Callithrix jacchus: one gene and its partners. The protein of the gene in region 1 interacts with the protein of each later gene in a biochemical or structural test. Links are inferred from orthologs where the notes say so. Each region holds a gene or a part of one and is shown in the gene's direction. Other genes may lie near its edges.

Region 1 (4,791 bases):
CTCAGTACTTATTTAGATAGGGCCCCCAGATCGTGTCACCTGGGTGCTTATAAAACAGGATCCAGGTCTGGGCACAGTGGCTCACGCCTGTAATCCCAGCACTTTGGAAGGCCGAGGCAGGTGGATCACCTGAGGTCAGGAATTCAAGACCAGCATGACCAACATGGAGAAACCCATCTCTACTAAAAATACAAAAATTAGCCAGGCGTGGTGGTGCATGCCTGTAATCCCAGCTACTCAGGAGGCTGAAGCAGGAGAATCGCTTGAACCCGGGAGGCGGAGGTTGCAGTTGAGCTGAGATCATGCCATTGCACTCCAGCCTGGGCAATAAGAGCGAAACTACATCTCAAACAAACACACACCAGGATCCAGGGTCCCACCCTAGCATTTCTGGCCTATAGAAGCTGTCTCGACAGAACCCAGGTCCAAGCTCCCGATGCATACTCCAGAAGACCCAGAACTCAGCCCCCAGCATTAGCTGCCCGAGGTCTAGGTCCAGTTCCCTAGCAATGACCCAAAAGAGCCCAAGGTCCAGTTCCCTAGCAATGACCCAAAAGAGCCCAAGGTCCAGCCCCAAGCACTTGCTCGGGTCTACGAGACAGCCCTTGGGACCCCAGGATCATACTTTTCTCCTTAACTGACAGGACCCAGTGTCCTGCCACTCCACACTAAATATCTCTGCAGACCCCAGGGGTCTAGCCCAGCCCTCTTCCACGGGGTGAGTATCCTAGGTTACTGAGCTTCTGCCTCCTTCCTACCCAGGATCCTGATCGTGGATTGGGATGTCCACCATGGTAATGGAACTCAGCACATGTTTGAGGATGACCCCAGGTAAGATGCTGCAGTCAGGGGCTGTGGTGTGGTCAGGGAGATGGGTGAGCACCTCAGGGGTATTGGAGCCCCTAACCAGCTATGGCCCCCTTCCCACCCCCTCCCCGGCAGTGTACTCTATGTGTCCCTGCACCGCTACGATCATGGCACCTTCTTCCCCATGGGAGATGAGGGTGCCAGCAGCCAGATCGGCCGGGCTGCAGGCACAGGCTTCACCGTCAACGTGGCATGGAATGGGCCCCGCATAGGTGATGCTGACTACCTAGCTGCCTGGCATCGCCTGGTGCTTCCTATTGCCTACGAGGTAAAGCTCAGTGTAGATCTCAGGATGTATGTGATACACCTGTGCAGGTGGCAGCCTGGGCCTGCCTCCTCAGCATGTGTGCGTTTGACTGCCAGGTGGCGGATCATATGAGACAGCCCAAGGGTGACTAATGAGGCTACTGGGGCAGTTGATGACTGTGATTACCTTGTGTGTTTGACCACACAGGTGGCTGTACAGGACTGCCTTCTCTGTGTGACACTGTGTGAGTGACTGTCTTGCCTGTGTGTGTGAGGGCCTTCTGGCTATGCAGCAGTGGCCTGTGTCCTGGCTGGATCTGTGTTGTATATGTGTGCTATCACAAGTTCTTTAGTATGTGTGTGCAATTCTGTGCAAGTGGGTATTTCTCACCACCTTTTCTCTGTGCGATGGATGTGATATTGTATGTCACTAAATGCAGCCATCTCTATGACAGCCTGTATGGGACCCTCTGGATGTGGAGGGCTGTGTGTGACAGCAGTCACTGTCTGACTGTCTGCCCTGGCTGTTTGTGTATGTGTCTCTGACTGGGAGGTAGCTGCCTTCCCTCTGTGTGAGCTGTGGGGCGGGGGGGTCAGTGGCTTGTGTATGGCTGACCCTGGGAGGGAGGGGAAGGAGGTGTGAGCACTGCTCTGTCACCCTGGGTGCCAGTGTGCATCTTTGGATCTGCACGTGCATCTGACTATGCATGGGTGGCCAGGACAGCCTTCTGTGTGTATACAACTGTATGTGCAAGTGACCAGCTCTTGTGGACACACCAGAGTGCATGTGGCTGTTGTGGCTGTGTGGTGATGGCATGTGTATGATTGTGACTGCAGGATGGCTGTGGGTTATTGTCCTTTTTAAGAAACTATGTATGTATGTGTGCGCATGACTAGTGCAGATATGTAGTACTGTTCTATATGGGACTGTCTGTGTGGGATTACACGTGGCTTTGTGTGACCATCTTCTCTGTGTGTGGTGCTTGCGTTGCCATCTTCTGTTATGGAAGTGTGTGAGCACCCCTCTTTGGCACTATGTACATAAAACCCTGTATCTTGTGTATGTGTGTCCCACGTTTGACCCTGGGGTGTGTGTGTGAGGACATGTCTCTGTCTCTCCATTTCTCATGTCAGTCTCTTGACATCTGAGTCTGGTCTCATGACTCTGTCTCATGTCCCCATCTGTCCATTTTTGCTGTCTCCATGTTTCTAGATCTGCATCTGTTTCTTCTATCTCTGAGTCTATATTTCTCTTCTTCCTCTCTTCATTTTCAGTCTCTGCTTTTGCATCTCCCAGTCTTCAGGCCCCGTGTCTCCATCTCTCTGATTTGCATCTCCATGTCTTCATTTGTCCTTTTCTCCATCCATGTCTCCTTGTCACCACCACTTACTGCCTACCAAAAGCCCTTACCCTCATGCTTATACGTCTCTTCTCTCCCTGCCTCAGTTTAATCCAGAACTGGTGCTGGTCTCAGCTGGCTTTGACGCTGCACGGGGGGACCCGCTGGGGGGCTGCCAGATATCACCTGAGGGTTATGCCCACCTCACCCACCTGCTGATGGGCCTTGCCAGTGGCCGCATTATCCTTATCCTAGAGGTAACTCTCTCTTGGTAACCTTTTCCCACAGTGGGAGGGTAGTTTGGGAATCTTGGCACTATCATTCAGTATAGTTTCCTAAAATCTCCTTTAAGTGTCCCTGCCTGGAATTGTGGGCACACACTGGGTAGTAATTGGGTAATAATAATAAGAATAACAGCAACATTAACAGCTTTGAGTGCTCACTGTGTGCAAAGCACTCTTCTGAGCACTTCATGTATCTTATTCATTTAGTTACTTGGCAAAGCAGCCTTATGAGGTAGGGTTAGCTTTTCCCCTCTCAAGATCAGGGAAACTGAGGCACAAAGAGGCGTGATGACTAGATGACTGAAAGAAATGTGCCTGAGATGGCACATTTACTGATGGCAGAACCAGGACTTGAACCGATGCAGCGTGGCTCCAGGGTTTGTGTTTTTTACTGTTACCTGAACTGACTCTAACAAGTTCCTGGGACAAAGAAAATTCACTGACCTTTGTAAGTGACTCGGTATCCCCATGCCCTGTGCCTCAGTTTCCTCATCTTTATGAGGCTGGCTAATCATGGAGGAGTGCCTGGCATATAGTAAATGCTGGATCTGGTAGATCTGTTTTTTTTTTTTTAATTGAGACAGAGTCTCGCTCTGTCACCCAGGCTGGAGTGCAATGGCGCAATCTGAACTTACTGCAGCCTCCACCTTCCAGGTTCAAATGATCCTCCCACCTCAGCCTCCTGAGTAGCTGGGATTACAGATACCCATCACCACGCCTGGCTGATTTTTGTATTTTTAGTAGAGATGGGGTTTCACCATGTTGGCCAGTCTGGTCTTGAGCTCCTGGCCTCAAGAAATCCACCCACCTCAGCCTCACGGAGTGCTAGAATTACAAGTGTGAGCCACCACACCTAGCCCCTGGTTACTGTTATGCATTGTTCAGATACTAACCCGCTCAGCAACCTTCTGTGCTGTTATTTTCACTACTTTACAGATGAGGAAAATAAATCACAGAGAAATTAAGTGGCTTGCAAAAAGTCCCACTTACCATGTGCCCAGTACTGTTTGTGACAGGGCATGGTGGGAGTTAAAAACACAGATGACTCCATCAGAGAGCCAAAGTTCAAATCCCAGTGCTGCCTCTACAGCTGTTAGGACCTCAGAAAAGTCATCTAACCACTCCGAGCCTCAGTTTTATTTATTTATTTATTTTTTTGAGATGGAGTCTCGCTCTGTCACCCAGGCTGCAGTGCAGTAGTGCAATGTCAGCTCACTGCAACCTCCACCTCCCTGGTTCAAGCAACTCCCCTGCCTCAGCCTCCGGAGTAGCTGGGATTACAGGTGCACACCACCACGCCCGGCTAAGTTTTTTGTATTTTCAGTAGAGACAGGGTTTCACCATGTTGGCCAGGCTGGTCTCGAACTCCTGACCTTAGGCAATCTGCCCTCCTCAGCCTCCCAAAGTGCTGGGATTACAGGCGTAAGCCACTGCGCCCAGCCTTTTGCCTCAGTTTGTCTGTAAAAAGAATAGCAACTGGGATTCCTGTAGAGTGTAAAGAAAGTCAGAACAGGAGTCCATATGGAGAGAGAGTCCGTTGTTCCTGTACTAGATCAGGGCAGGGGCTTTTGTATGGGTTCACAGCAGGCGTCTCATGCAGGTCAGATCAGTGATTACTGTATGATGTGAGGCCAGGGGTTCCTGGACAGTGTCAAGACGGATTTCTGTATGGCATGAAGGCAAGTTCTGGTATAGACTGAGCACCTGTGGTTATGAGGATTGAGTTAATATGCATGAAGTACTTAAAACTGGGTCTGGCACAGAGCAAACACTTAATAAATAATGTCAGCTATTACTAATGGTTTTATCAGTATTGTTATCTTGCACTTTACATCGCAATTTACTCCCCACAACAACCACTTTACACAATGGGTGCCGCCCATCTTACAGGTGTGGGTTCTGCTCACTTGTTCCCAATACTCCCCCGTCCCTCTCCAGACTTGCAGGGCTCAGTTGGGAGGATTGGGGAGGCAAGACATGTTGCTTTCCAGATTCCCCGATGAACCCCTACCATGCCTTTCCCTTCCCTTTTCCTTAACAAAGGGTGGCTATAA
Region 2 (4,502 bases), on another chromosome or scaffold:
CACGACCACACTGGCTTCCTGACAGAGTATGTGGCTACACGCTGGTACCGGGCCCCAGAGATCATGCTGAACTCCAAGGTAGGAGGGGCTGCCCACTCCTGAAGGGAAGGGGCCAGGTCCCAGGAAGCCCTGGAGCTACCTCTGAGCCAGGCACTGACCCCCATTCCACCCTCTGGGCTTGGGCTCTGCAAGGAAGCTGAGAGTGGAGCCCTCCAGGCCTCTGCCTTCTGCCTGGTGTTGGATCTAGCTTGGGGTGGTGGCCTGGCACAGGCAGCAGGACCCTGTTGAGGCTGTCCCGGGAGCCCATCACTTCCTCCTTTCTCCCAGGGCTATACCAAGTCCATCGACATCTGGTCTGTGGGCTGCATTCTGGCTGAGATGCTCTCCAACCGGCCCATCTTCCCTGGCAAGCACTACCTGGATCAGCTCAACCACATTCTGGGTGAGGGAGTCCCGGCTGACTGAGTGGGGGATAATTAGCTTTTCCTAGGTGAGATTTCTTGAGAGTCCGAGTCAGGGATATCATCATCATGTACGGGGTGCCTCCAGCATCTCCTAGACCTCAACGAGGTATAGATATTATCCCCACTGGAAAGATGGGAAAAGCAAGGCTAAGTCCTACACCTAAGGAGGCACCACACCTAGGATTTGAGCCTCAGTCTGCCTGAATCCAGCCCCTTGCTCTGCTGGGAGAGCAGACTAGGAGGTGACTAAGAGTTTGGCATGGGTTGCTAGGCTGGGGGGTCTTGTTCTTGCCCTCTTGCCTGTTCTGTTCCCAGAAAGGAGGAGGTGATCATTTACCAAGTCACCTCCTTATCCACAGGCATCCTGGGCTCCCCATCCCAGGAGGACCTGAATTGTATCATCAACATGAAGGCCCGAAACTACCTACAGTCTCTGCCCTCCAAGACCAAGGTGGCCTGGGCCAAGCTTTTCCCCAAGTCGGACTCCAAAGGTATGAGAGACGTGGGGACGGGTGTGGCATAAACCCTGGGAGCTGTGGAGGGTGCGTGAGTCCAGCAGCCACCGGAGGAGACGGGCCCTGGGCATGGGGAAGCAAAGCGATGCTCCTGGGAGCTCCTCCAGCCTTCCCTGTGACCCCTGACTCCTGCCCTTCCATAGCCCTTGACCTGCTGGACCGGATGTTAACCTTTAACCCCAACAAACGGATCACAGTGGAGGAAGCGCTGGCCCACCCCTACCTGGAGCAGTACTATGACCCAACGGATGAGGTGGGCCAGTGCCTAGCAGCAGCGGGGCTGGGGGCAGGGGATCAAGTCGGCATTCCCCACACCGGGCCTGAGCCTTACCGTCTCTGCCACCCCAGCCAGTGGCCGAGGAGCCCTTCACCTTCGACATGGAGCTGGATGACCTACCCAAGGAGCGGCTGAAGGAGCTCATCTTCCAAGAGACAGCACGCTTCCAGCCTGGGGCGCTGGAGGCCCCCTAACCTAGACAGATATCCTGTGCCCTGGGGCCTGGTGAGTGTCCCCATGGCCCGCACACAGACACACTGATACTAAATATAGATCTCTATCTCTATATCCACACCTACAGCTATCTCTGTCTCTATCTACCTCTCTCTCTATCTCTATCTAAGCTGCAAGCTTGCCCCGCACCCATGGTCCATGTGGCTGGTGACATCAGAGGTGCCCAGGGAGCTGGGCATGGTGGCTCATGCCTGGAATCCCAGCACTTTGGGAGACAGACTTAGACCAGTAGGTCACCAGAGGTCAGAAGTTCAAGACCAGCGTGGCCAACATGGTGAAACTACTAAAAATACAAAAATTACACACCAAAAACATATAAAAACTACTCAAAATACAAAAATAAGCCGGGCATGGTGGCGCACACCTATAAGACCCAGCCACTCAGGAGGCTGTGGTGGGAGGATTTCTTGAACCTGGAAGGTGGAGGTTGCACCACTGCACTCCAGCCTGGGCAACAGTGAGACTCTGCCTCAATAAAAGAAAAAAATGCCCAAGGACTACCCAGACTCGTGGCCCACCCAGTCCTCCAACCCCAAATGTCTCCACCTGTCAACACCCTGCATCCTCCAGCCCCAGGAGCCATTCTAATCTTCTGGGAACAGAACTAGCAAAGAGGCAAGAGGTTACAGAGGGCCCCTGTCACCCAGGTAAGGACCTGAGCCAGGCCTCAGCTCTGGGTGTGGCAGAAGCAGGTGGAGCCATGATCGCTTTGGGAGGGGCCCAGCATCACCCAGCCTGACCCAGATGGCGAGGCCTCCTCACACCTGCTGCCAGGTTAGCAGTTCACATAGCTGTGGGACCCCACTGGGCCTGCCCCCACCCACACTGCCTCCTCCAGTCTCTTCCTGTCTCTGGCCAGGTGTGGCCTGATAGGAAGAAGGCAGCACACCTGGGCTCAAACTGCAGCTGTGCCACTTAGTAAGTGCTGTGTGGTATTAGACAAGGCACCTCGCCTCTCTGTGCCTCAGTTCCCTGGAAACAGTTTTATTTATCTTGTTTTGTTTTTGTTTTTTTTGAGACAGTATCTCACTCTGTTGCCCAGGCTGGAATGCAGTGGCACAATCATAGCTCACTGCAGCCTCAAATTCCTGGGCGCAAGGGATCCTCCCAGGTAGCTGGACGAGCCTTTGCAACTGGCTAATTTTTTTTTTTTTTTTTTTTAAGAGTTGGGGTCTTACTATTTGCCCAAGCCAGTCTCCAACTCCTGGGCTCAAGTGACCCACCCGCCTCAGCTTCTCAAAGTGCTGGGATTACAGGCATGAGCCACCACACCCGGCCGAGACAGTTCTAATAATGAACGCATAAAACCCTAAGCATTGTTCTAAGAGGTTCGCATGTATTAATCCTTTTAATCTTACAGCAGTACCTTGAGCTAGGTACTATGATTATCTCCATTTACAGATAAGGAAACTGAGCTCCAGCCTGCCCAGCTGTGAGGGTGATGGGCTGCACCGGGTCTGCCCGAGGGTGCTGATGACTCCTCTCCTGCCTGCTTCCCTCTTTAGGAGCTGCCTTCCTCCTGCCCCTCTCCTGCCGGACTGTTAGAAAATGGACACTGTGCCCAGCTCAGACCTTGGCAGCCCAGCCGGGGTGGAACATGGGCCTGGCCACCTCTCTCCTTTGCTCAGGCCTCCAGCTTCAGGCAGGTCAAGGCCTCCTCCTCTCTGCCTGTCCTCTCCACAGGGCATCGGAGGCTCAGGTGGCCCCAGTTCAGTTTCCCGCTGCTGCTGCTGTGCCCTTCCCCAGCGTCCCAGTCTCTGCAGTTCTGGAATGGAAGGGCTCTGGCTGCCCAACCTGCTGAGGGGCGGGGGTGGAGGGTGGGGGGCATTGAGTAGGACTCAGGGCCAGGCCTTCCTCCTCATCTCATTCAACCCCCTCCCTAGTTTCCCTGAAGGAACATTCCTTAGTCTCAAGGGCTAGCATCCCCGAGGAGCCGGGCCAAGCTGAATCCCCTTCCTGTCAAAGCTGCCACTTTGAGCGCCCTCACTGCTTCTGTGTGTGGTGATCGGAGTGGAGCTGGGGGGCGTGGAGAGCCCGGCACCCCCACCACCTCCTTGGCCCGTCTAATATATAAATATAGAGATGTGTCTATGGCTGACCCTAGCTCTGTCTGTGTTTGCGACGCCCTGCCCTGCCCCGTGCGGCTCTGAAGACGGACTCCAGCACCCCAGCTGCTGCTTGCTCAGGCTTTCCAGAGCCTGGTGCCCTTCACTCACACTGCCCAGGGCTGGGGATGGGCCTCTGAGGAGCTCCAGACTCCTAGAAAGAAGGGGATCAATTTTCCCCTTAGTCACTGTCCTGTCCCCTTGCTAATGGCTTCCTGTCTAACTGGCTGGGGGTGATTCGGGGTGACTCAGGGGCACCCTACATACCCCTGGATCCTCTGAAATGGCAAGGGAACAGAACTGGCATGTTGGATGCCCTGGCCACCAAGCGCCAGTGGGAGGGAGAGGTGCTAACAGTCCTGGGTGGTTTTTATTCCCCTTGTGTGGCCAGGACAGGGTGGGTGCTGGGGTCTGGGAAGGGCCCAGGGATATGAGGGTCAGGGCTGCTTGCCTCATCTCCTGATACTACCCTGGCTTCAGCCAAACCCTGCAGTCTGGCTCCAAGCCAGCCCAGCGGCAGGCTCAGCAGGTCCCAGGGGCGTGGCGGTGGCCAGTAGTAGAGCTGGCCCACACCGGCTAGGCAGGCAGCAGAGTCCCTGGACGGCTGAGCGTGCGGCTGTGGGAGCTTCTGCAGGAGTGCAGTCATGAGCCTTTTCCTGTACTGTGCCCTCCCTGCCCTGGGCAGTTATGCCATGCTCTCCAGCTTCTTCCTGCGCCGGCCTCACCTGCTGCACACACCCCGGGCTCCCAACTTCCGCATCCGCCTGGGAGCCCACCGAGGAGGTGAGCTGGGTGGGGGTGAGAACAGGCGCCAAAGTGGACAGCAGAGAGAGGTAGGTCCAAGGGGTGGATGCTAGAAACAGGGCAGAGACCAAGAGGAGGAGAGCGAGGTGGCAGGGCAGGGCGT
Region 3 (4,791 bases), on another chromosome or scaffold:
GCAGGGGGCTGGGTTTCCTCAGGAGTAGGGGCATGGGTCAGGCCTGCAGCAGGGGGCTGGGTTTCCTCAGGAGTAGGGGCATGGGTCAGGCCTGCAGCAGGGGGCTGGGTTTCCTCAGGAGTAGGGGCATGGGTCAGGCCTGCAGCAGGGGGCTGGGTTTCCTCAGGAGTAGGGGCATGGGTCAAGCCTGCAGCAGGGGGCTGGGTTTAGCTGGGTAGTGGGGACATGGGTCAGGCCTGCAGCGGGGGGCTGGGTTTCCTCAGGAGTAGGGGCATGGGTCAGGCCTGCAGCAGGGGGCTGGGTTTAGCTGGGTAGTGGGGACATGGGTCAGGCCTGCAGCAGGGGGCTGGGTTTAGCTGGGTAGTGGGGACATGGGTCAGGCCTGCAACAGGGGGCTGGGTTTAGCTGGGTAGTGGGGACATGGGTCAGGCCTGCAGCAGGGGGCTGGGTTTCCCTGGGAGTGGGGACATGGGTCAGGCCTGCAGCAGGGGGCTGGGTTTCCTCAGGAGTAGGGACATGGGTCAAGCCTGCAGCAGGGGGCTGGGTTCAGCTGGGTAGTGGGGGCATAGGTCAGGCCTGCAGCGCTTCTGGGATGCGCTTGTCTTCTGCCTTCAGGAGGTGCAAGAGAAACAGTGCTCCTAGTCCAGGTTTCTTGTCTATAAAGTGGGCCGCAGTTTTTGGCAGGAGATACTTACTTTTGAACTGGAAGTGTTTTCTTGTCAGGTCCCCCATCCCTAGGAAAATGAGCTCAAGGGGGCTGAAACCCTCCCAGTGTGAGCCAGCCCCGAGAGGCAGGGGCAGGGCTGAGGCGGCTGTGGTGCCCTCCGCATCTGCAGGGCCTCTCCTCCCATGGATGCAGATGCACACTCCTCTGCAGTGTGGGTAGGACCCTCGGAGTGAGCTGCACAGCCCAGAGTGCTGTTACGGCATTATTTGAAGTACAGTTCTTAGCCTGTTTCCGGATCTTGGCTGAGTGTTTGGATTTTCAGTTCGTTCTTTAACGTTGACCTTTGAGCCAGCCCTGAGCCTGGGGGTTGGATCTTGAAGGCCGTGAGCTCGGGAGAGCCCTTGCTTTCCGGAAAGTGTTTGCTTCTGCACCTGCTCATGTAACTCTAACCCTACTGTGTTTTCTCTCTCGGTTGTTTTCCCCACTGTTGCTTGTGGATTTTCAGATTATAAGACTGGTTTTGGAGGCAAATTCGGTGTTCAGTCGGAGAGGCAGGACTCCGCTGCCGTGGGGTTTGATTACAAGGAGAAGCTGGCCAAGCACGAGTCCCAGCAAGGCACAGTTGCCACTAGCCTCCTACCTTCCCCCCCTCCGTGCAGCCACTTCTAGCACAGACTTCAGGGCTCACCGTCAGCACCTGCAGCATGGCCCTCCTCTGTCACCAGCTGTCCACTGTCAGGCCACTGGGCACTGACACCCACGTCTGTTAGAGCCACACTGATGTTGAGCTGCTCTTCGCCTTCTTCCCTGTGAGCCTGCGATCTGTGCATGGCAGGAAGCGCCAGTTAGTGAGTGGGTGCTGTCTCTCTAACCCTGTGACTCACCCAGTCTGTGGACGGGCATCTCCGCTCTTCAGCGGCATCCTGCCAGAGGCTGTTGTGCCATTAACGTGACTGCTGTGAGCCATTGAGTCAGGCCTTCCTGCCTTCCAGATGACAAGAGAGGTGTTTGCTCCAGCCAAGCCACTGGCCATTTGAGCAGGGGCTTCATAGCAGTGAGGCCCAGGAGACAGGCGTGTCCCGTGTGGTCTGTGTCATTTGTGGTGTTTTTGGCCGGGGTGGGAGGTTTTTTGTTTGTCCCGTTTGATGACACCGTGTGTGTGACATCTCCACACAGAGCCACACAGTGTGTGCGTGACGCCAGCTCCACACCCTTCCTTAGGGCAGTATCTTTGTTACCTTCAGAATCTGGACTTGCTTCTTAGAGCCTGAACATATAATTGGAAAAACAGTCATTCCCTAACCCTGCAGGGCAGATCCTAGGCTTCCCACCTGCGGCATTAGAAACGCACAGCAGTGTTGAGGCCGGGGCAGGTAAACACCCGGGTGGTCCCACAGACTGCATGGAGGTGGCGGTGGCTCTCCGTGGCCTCACTCTGCATGACGGTGTGACTTTCATGTGGATCTGTGTTGCTGCAACAGAAGTGTTTGGCTGGTAGAGTTTCCACATGGATTTTTTTTTTCTTTTAAAAAGCAAGAGAACAAACTGCGATTGAGCCTCTTTTTAGCGCTCAGTAGAGCAGGAGCACAGGAAGCAGATGAGAATAAGCCCGTGCTGGTGCGGAAGACTGTGCTATTGAAGTGGCGCGCTGCGAAGGCCTGTCCCTGTCCCTGTCCCTGTCCCTGCCCTCTGTCCTCGGCTTAGCTCCCTCAGCCCGCCGCCCCTCCCGCCCCTCCTGCCCCTCAGGGAATGCTGAAGCCTGCCCCTGGCCTGTGCTCGGCTTCCCCTGCCTGTGGCGCACGACCTTGGGTGGAAGCAAAGCTTGCCTTGCTTGCTTGTTGTCGTTTCTCCTGCCGTGGCGCACCTTCCTGGGCTGTCTCTGGATCTGTCTGCATGCACCCATGGTCGGCCCCACGCTCGCCTCCACCTCACAGTGAGTGTTGTGTTTTGTCACGTTTCAGACTACTCCAAAGGATTCGGCGGGAAGTATGGGGTACAGAAGGATCGGATGGATAAGGTAAATATTCAGACCCGGAGCTTGGTGTCTTCTGGGTGGGCGTGGCTCACAGTGCTGGCCGCCATCTGCACACGTGATTTCCGTCATGGTGGCGGCAGCGGTGGCAGCAGCGATGACTGACTCCAACAGTCCTGTGCTCCTCATGGCCACGCTGTGGGATCGGATTGGCACTGGCCCACCTCCTAGCTGGGGGCCGCAGGCCAGGCAGGCTCAGCACCTGCTGCGGCACAGCAGTGGACAGCTGGGCTGCCACGGGAACCCAGGTGTTCAACATGAGCAGTGAGGGCCTCGAGGGCTCACATCCATTTGAACTTAAATTCTTTTTTTTTTTGAGACTGAGTTTCGCTGTTGTTACCCAGGCTGGAGTGCAATGGCACGATCTCAGCTCACCACAACCTCCGCCTTCTGGGTTCAAGCAATTCTCCTGCCTCAGCCTCCCGAGTAGCTGGGACTATGGGCGCGCACCACCATGCCCAGCTAATTTTTTTTGTATTTTTAGTAGAGACGGGGTTTCACCTTGTTGACCAGGATGGTCTCGATCTCTTGACCTCGTGATCCACCCGCCTCAGTCTCCCAAAGTGCTGGGATTATAGGCGTGAGCCACCGCGCTCGCCCTAAACTTAAATTCTTAACAGTAAATCAGATTGGAGCCTGAGTGTGTCAGACTGCGTGTGGGGCTGCCCCCTGGCAGCCGGTGCTGCCTGTGTGACGATGCCTTGTCTCCTGTCTTCGGCATCACGGAGACTCAGACTCCACACTTCCTGCTCCTGTGCATGGCTGGCGGTCACAGGTGGTAGGGTCAGTCCTTGCCTTGCAGTTGACCACACACAGTGCCATCCAGGGACTCCTAATGTGGGCAGGCAGAGCAGGTGTTTGGGCTGGGGTCCCCAGGGAGCAGTCGCTGGGGCTCATTTTTGAGGGCAGCTGGGAATTCATCAGGAGCAAAAGCTCAGGAGACCACAGAAGGGCGAGGTGTGGGCCCCGTGGGACTGGAGTCACAGCAGGTTCTCCAGGAGCCGAGCTACAGAGGGAGGGCAGGGAGGAGGGCTAGAGCCAGCCCTGGAGAGCGTCAAATGCCGTAGAGCATTCTGTACGTCATTATGTGACATGCTGGACCCTGAAAAGTTTAGCAGGCAAGGGACAGTGCGGGGATCTGCTTTGGGTGGATGTGGGGTGGACGTGGGGCCGACTGTGGAGCTGGAGAACTGGGAGGAGCAGATGTGGGTGTCAGCGAGAGACAGCTTGGGTGGGGCCAGGGCTGGGCCCACTCTTCGGGCAGAGTGGGGAGGGGGAGTAGGCATGCAGTTAGGACATGGGCAGGGGACCCAGAGGTGGCAGGGCCTTGAAAGGCGCTGGGACGGGTGGAGGGAATGAGCTCCCATATGGGTGGGCCACAGGTTGTAGATTCGAGGCTGGAACCCAAGGGGCTGCCTGTGCTGTGGGTGTCTGTGGTCAGCATTGATGGTTTGGCGGTGGCAGCTTGTGAGCACATGGGGAGGCAGCGTGGGGGTGCTGCCTTTGGGGCTCTTGTGTTTAATCCGGGAGGGGTTGGTGCTTCTCTCTCGGTTTGCTGTGCAGTTGAGCCCCAGGCTTAGAGAGGGTGACATAACTGCCCAGGTCCCACTATATCGTGGCATCGGGGCTACAACCCAGGCTGTGAGGTGAGGTCGTCCCCTGAGGGTGAGGCAATGTCTCCAGTGGTTCTGGTGGGTGATGGGGCCCAGTAAGGCCGATGGCCTTGCCTTTGAACAGGTATGAGTGGCTTAGGAGATGCGGAGTGGATCCTGGAGCTGACCGACAGGAGGAGGGAGCTGGGTCCGAGGAAGGAGGGCGGGCCAGGAACGGGCTAGCAGGAGTGCTGGGCAGAAGGGGGCCGTGGGGTGGGGGCTCTGGTGGCTTCTGAGCCTCAGGGGTTCTCATCAGAGGTGGTGAAACCTGCAGTGAACCTGGGCGCGGCCGCTGGTCTCCACAAGCCCTGCCATCTGCGCCCAGTTCAGCACTTCAGAGTCATCGCCATCGTTTGCTCAAACCAGAGTTGCGTCCCCTACAAAGCAGGAAGGTGTGATTGCACCACTGGGAGGTGTGGAGGACGGGCCCCGAGGCTTGC
Region 4 (4,791 bases), on another chromosome or scaffold:
GCCTGCCTTGGCCTCCCAAAGTGTTGGGATTTGACTCCACATCTTGATTGCATATTTCCCTTGTTTCTCTCTTCTGTCTCCAGCCCTTGTTCTCGTCTACTTCCCCACTTCAATTTCCCTCTTATTTTCTCTTTCCTAGCTTCTCCTCTTCCAGCTTCCTTACAACTATTCCTGTGAGTAATGCCCCTAGCATTGCCTCTTAGCCTAAGACATTCTTGAAACCATGCAGTTGCAGGCCCTGTTCGCAGATTGCCACATTGTACTGTTCTCCTCGGCATTTGCAGATGCTGTCGATGCAGTTTCTGGACATCTAAGCCTTGTTGATTTTCTTCTCCACCAGTGACTTGTATTAAGAACAATTAGGATCATCACTATCATGCTCTCACCATGTGCCAATCACTGTTCTAAGCACTTAATATGTATGAGCCTACATAATCCTGACGAAGGAGATACAAGTTTTGAGATGAGGAAACTTGGGAGATAAAATAACTTGCCCACAACTACAGAGTGGCAGAGCCAGAATTCAAATGCAGGCAGCCTTGCCCCAGATCCCACACTCCGAGCAGATGGGACCCCCAAGTTAGTTGCTCATAATCCTGATTAAGGTGTCCTGGCATGCCATGAGTCACACATCACACAGGCTGTTCTCTGCTGCGATAAGAAATTGAAATTTGGACCCACTGTCCGCCTCAATGACATTTGGAATTGATAACTCTTTTTATTTTCTACTTAAATGATAGTATCTCAGTAGGAAGCTCACAGCTTTAAATCCCATCAAGATTTTAACTCATCACCATTCAGAAGAGATCATACTTCCATGATTGTGTGTGTGTATGTATGTGTGTTGTCAGGAATATAAATTGAAGACTTAAAAGCAGATGCCCACAATAATTCTGCAACCCAGGAGCTCTTGGTGGCCTTGATAAGGGTCTTCATTGGCTTATCCTGTATGTGACCTTCTGCAGCCTCCAGTGTTAGACATTCTGGGGCATTTTCTACCTTTAAAAAGCAGCTGATTCTCATTCTGGTGTTTAATCAGAGATAGACCATTGGCCTCTTTCCACTCCTCATGAGAGAGCTCCATTTTTATGCTCACATTTTTCATCTTTTGTGATACTTAGGGTTGATGTTTTAGGGGCAAGACCTTCTGCATTGGATTAAAACCTTTCACAGGAGCTTGGTGAATTCTTGAGTGCCCAGGTTCCCTGGGGGCCTCCAACCCTCTGGATTTCAGAATGATAAGAGTGGACACAAGTCTGAAACGCTGTTTCCGGGCTGTAGTGAGCACTCACATCATGGATTTTTTTTTTTTCCATTTTCTAAGACCCCAACAATGTAAGGTTTTTTATAAACATTATTTTCTTTGATTTTCCCAACAGTCTGTACCACTGGAATTATGCCCCTCTTCATTTTTCTAGATGAAGAAACAGAGGCTCAGAGACTCAGCTTCCCTGTGCTCAGGGTTACCTGGTGAGACACCTGCTGAGCCACGGGGATCATGCCTGTTTGTTTTATTTATGTGCTCCCCGAGATGAATGAGGTCAGATACTTTCTTAGGAGAAGACATACTTGGAAGGCACCAGTGGGGTGTGATAGACATATGTTCAGCTTCTCTGTGGCTAGCAGACCTGAGCCAGTCCCCTCCCCTTCTCTGACTATTTGAATTTAGTCCCATCTGTTACCCACCTCTGTAAGGTTGCCAGGTAAGGAAGACATAAGGCTGTTGGCTGGCAGGAGACAGCACACAGTAGGTCCACAGACTAGTAAAGGCAGTGCCTATTTCTGACTTCTGATCCTAGGGCTGTACCTCCCACATGTTTGTCCAAAGACCCAACATCTTTAGGGTTCTCCCCTGCCCCGCCCCCTTCCCATCTAGCCCTGCCCACTGCCAACTCCAGTGCTTGCTTCTAAATTCCTCTCTAATTCTTAGTTTAACAATCAAACTATGCTGATAAACTATGCTATTTGCCTAGATCCATGGTTCTGGACTTTTATGGACATCAGAATCACCTGGAGGCTTGGTAAATATAGCTCATTGGACTCCACCCCAGAGTTCTGATTCAGAAGGTGATGCCAGTTCCGCTGGACCAGTTCCAGGGACCACACTGTGGGAACCACTGGACTGGGGAGCCTGGTCCCAGTTATACGCGTGCTGATGGTGTCTGACCAGTTAGGGATCTGATAATTCTGCCTTACTGGGGAAGATGCCATTGGAAGATAACGAGGAAGGCATTTGGGGTAGGAGGCTGAAGGCTTTGTCTATTCATCATAGCAGTGGATAAATTACCTTTTACATTGATGTGCAGTGGCTTTAGACAGCTTCTCACTGTTGTGAGCCTCTGCCAGCCATTGAATCTCAGACCTGCCTTCCTCTGGGTGAAATGGCCTTTCTTTCTAATTATTTTTGATTCCCATATCAGGTTTTTCAAACTAGGATTGCATTGAAAGCACCTGGAGGTCTTGTTAAAGTGAGGATTCAGAGTTATTAAGTCCAAGGATAGGGCTCACGGTTCTGCGTGTCTAATGAGCTCCCACGTGATGTAGATGCTGCGGGTCCATGGACCAGCACCTCGTAGCAATTCTGAATTATAGCTGTGTATAGCTTGCCCCTGCTGCCCAATAGAATCACCCAAGGAGCTTTTAAAAACAAATACTTGGCCAGGCTGGGTGGCTCACGACTGTAATCCCAGCACTTTGGGAGGCCAAGGCGGGTGGATCACAAGGTCAGGAGTTCAAGACCACCCTGACCAACATGGTAAAACCCTGTCTCTACTGAAAATACAAAAATTAGCCCGGTATGGTGGCCTGTAATCCCAGCTACTCGGGAAGCTGAGGCAGGAGAATCACTTGAACCCAAGAGGCGGAGGTTACAATGAGCCAAGATCATACCACTGTGCTCCAGCCTGGGCGACAGAGCGAGACTTTGTCTCAAAAACAAACAAATAAAAACCAATATTTGAGCCACATTCCCTGGAAATTATAGTTTAATTGTGGGGTTTAGAATTTTTAACACCCCCATTCCCCAACCCCCATGTGATTTCAATGTACAGCCAGGGTTGGAAACCATTGGTCGTTACCCACAAAATGGGGTAACACCTTCCCAGAGCTCAGCTCCATGTGAGCGCCAGAGACTAGGTCGGACTGGCTGCTTCCGTGTAGGGAGGGTGCACCATACTCCTGGGAAGCTGCACAGGTCACCTGGGAATCTTGTTAAATTGTGGATTCTTCTTGGTCAGGTTTGGGGTGGGACCTGGGTTTCTGCATTTCTAATAGATAATCTGAGTGTTGCTGATGCTGCCAGTCGAGGCTGGTGCTGAGTCTCCAGACGCGCCCACAAGGGCCCACATGATGCCCGTTATCTCTGCCAGTGATGGCAGCGGGTACCTTTTCTCAAGCCGAGCATTAGAGGCTTTTGTTTCCACCTTTTCTCTCCCTAAACGCCATCCTGACGTCTCTTTTATTCAGCTTGGTATTGACACAGGACACTGGGCAATATAGGTTTGTTCTCTTTTTGTAATCTTTTCTTCCTTCTCTCTTCACAGTACGAGACGCAAAAAATCTAATCCCTATGGACCCAAACGGGCTTTCAGATCCTTATGTGAAGCTGAAACTCATTCCTGATCCCAAGAACGAAAGCAAACAAAAAACCAAAACCATCCGCTCCACGCTAAATCCCCAGTGGAATGAGTCCTTTACCTTGTAAGTGGTCCCTCTCCTTGATAAAATTTCGTTCCCATACGCCATGCAGTTGCCCACCTCATTATTTGAGATGATGAAGTAGGCTGCTTATAAATGTCTTTAAACATGTCTTCAGTCCTAAGATCTCCTCAGGCTGCCATTAGGGAGGTAGCTATTAGTACCTGTTGGATAGATGGTAATTATGATACCAAGAGTTGCATAATTCAGGCCTCAAATTATTATTATCTAATCTGGATAAATGTATCAGGTATGTCCACCTCTTGATGGATTTAGGTTCTTTTGAGAGTTAGGGGAGGGCATAAGGCGAGAATTTAAATAATTTTTAGATCACAGAATGAGTGAGCGACATAGAAAGTGTTATTGCCACTGAAACGGGAAGATCATTCTTGCCTTCAAAGAGAGAATTCCTGGAAAATGTGACATTTAAAGTCAGCCTGGGAGGGCTGCCCGGGTTTCAGAGGTAGAGACGGTAGAAGGGGAAGAAGGAAATAAATAAGTCAGGAGGACTGAGGGCAGCTGAGCAAAAGCAAGAGGTCCTCTTTGTAGACTAGTAACAGGAGGCAGTTTTTCTGTGGACAGCCAGAAAGGTAGCTCTCTATTCTAGAGGGACCAGCAAGTTCTGCTCTGTGAAGGACCAGAGAGTATATATTTGAGGCTTTGTGAGTCATACGGTCTCTGTTGCACCTCTGTAACTCTAACTTTCTAGTGCCAAAGCAGCCATAGACAATATGGAAACAAATAGCCATGGCTGCATTCTAATAAATCTTTATTTATAGAAATAGACTGGGCCAGATTTGGCCCATGGGTCATAGTTTATTAACTCCTCCTGTAGAGCTTTGGTTGCCAGCATAAGGTTTGGTATTTTACTGGACCAGTAAGAGAATTAAATATACTAATTCTCTATCTCAGTCTCAAGTCACGTACATGTGTTATCTCCCAATAAAACCACAAGCAAGATAACCTGGTGTTTGCGTGTGTGTGTGTGTGTCTTGCAGCAAATTGAAACCTTCAGACAAAGACCGGCGACTGTCTGTAGAAATCTGGGACTGGGATCGAACAACAAGGAATGACTTCATGGGATCCCTTTCCTTT

What was found. The genes of interacting proteins can lie anywhere in the genome.
Region 2: the proteins of HDAC6 (region 1) and MAPK3 form a complex in vitro, tested with the Homo sapiens proteins (2 studies listed by BioGRID, with this or other methods). The link is inferred for Callithrix jacchus from reciprocal best matches to the Homo sapiens genes HDAC6 and MAPK3.
Region 3: the proteins of HDAC6 (region 1) and CTTN form a complex in vitro, tested with the Homo sapiens proteins (3 studies listed by BioGRID and IntAct, with this or other methods). The link is inferred for Callithrix jacchus from reciprocal best matches to the Homo sapiens genes HDAC6 and CTTN.
Region 4: the proteins of HDAC6 (region 1) and PRKCA form a complex in vitro, tested with the Homo sapiens proteins (2 studies listed by BioGRID, with this or other methods). The link is inferred for Callithrix jacchus from reciprocal best matches to the Homo sapiens genes HDAC6 and PRKCA.

Annotation. Positions count from the first base shown.
Region 1 is NC_133524.1:49,398,421-49,403,211, forward strand, and holds part of HDAC6 (protein deacetylase HDAC6), read left to right. Parts: intron 1-762; coding exon 763-831; intron 832-942; coding exon 943-1,135; intron 1,136-2,560; coding exon 2,561-2,710; intron 2,711-4,780; coding exon 4,781-4,791.
Region 2 is NC_133513.1:29,412,232-29,416,733, forward strand, and holds the end of MAPK3 (mitogen-activated protein kinase 3), read left to right. Parts: coding exon 1-78; intron 79-327; coding exon 328-442; intron 443-823; coding exon 824-955; intron 956-1,122; coding exon 1,123-1,232; intron 1,233-1,327; coding exon 1,328-1,450; 3' UTR 1,451-1,481; intron 1,482-2,891; 3' UTR 2,892-3,588; downstream 3,589-4,502. Other genes in the region: lysophospholipase D GDPD3, read left to right, coding at 4,240-4,378.
Region 3 is NC_133511.1:127,376,321-127,381,111, forward strand, and holds part of CTTN (src substrate cortactin), read left to right. Parts: intron 1-1,172; coding exon 1,173-1,283; intron 1,284-1,977; coding exon of another isoform or gene 1,978-2,040; intron 2,041-2,628; coding exon 2,629-2,684; intron 2,685-4,791.
Region 4 is NC_133506.1:122,599,088-122,603,878, reverse strand, and holds part of PRKCA (protein kinase C alpha type), read left to right. Parts: intron 1-3,542; coding exon 3,543-3,699; intron 3,700-4,694; coding exon 4,695-4,791. UniProt on the Homo sapiens protein: Calcium-activated, phospholipid- and diacylglycerol (DAG)-dependent serine/threonine-protein kinase that is involved in positive and negative regulation of cell proliferation, apoptosis, differentiation, migration and adhesion, tumorigenesis, cardiac hypertrophy, angiogenesis, platelet function and inflammation, by directly phosphorylating targets such as RAF1, BCL2, CSPG4, TNNT2/CTNT, or activating signaling cascade involving MAPK1/3 (ERK1/2) and RAP1GAP.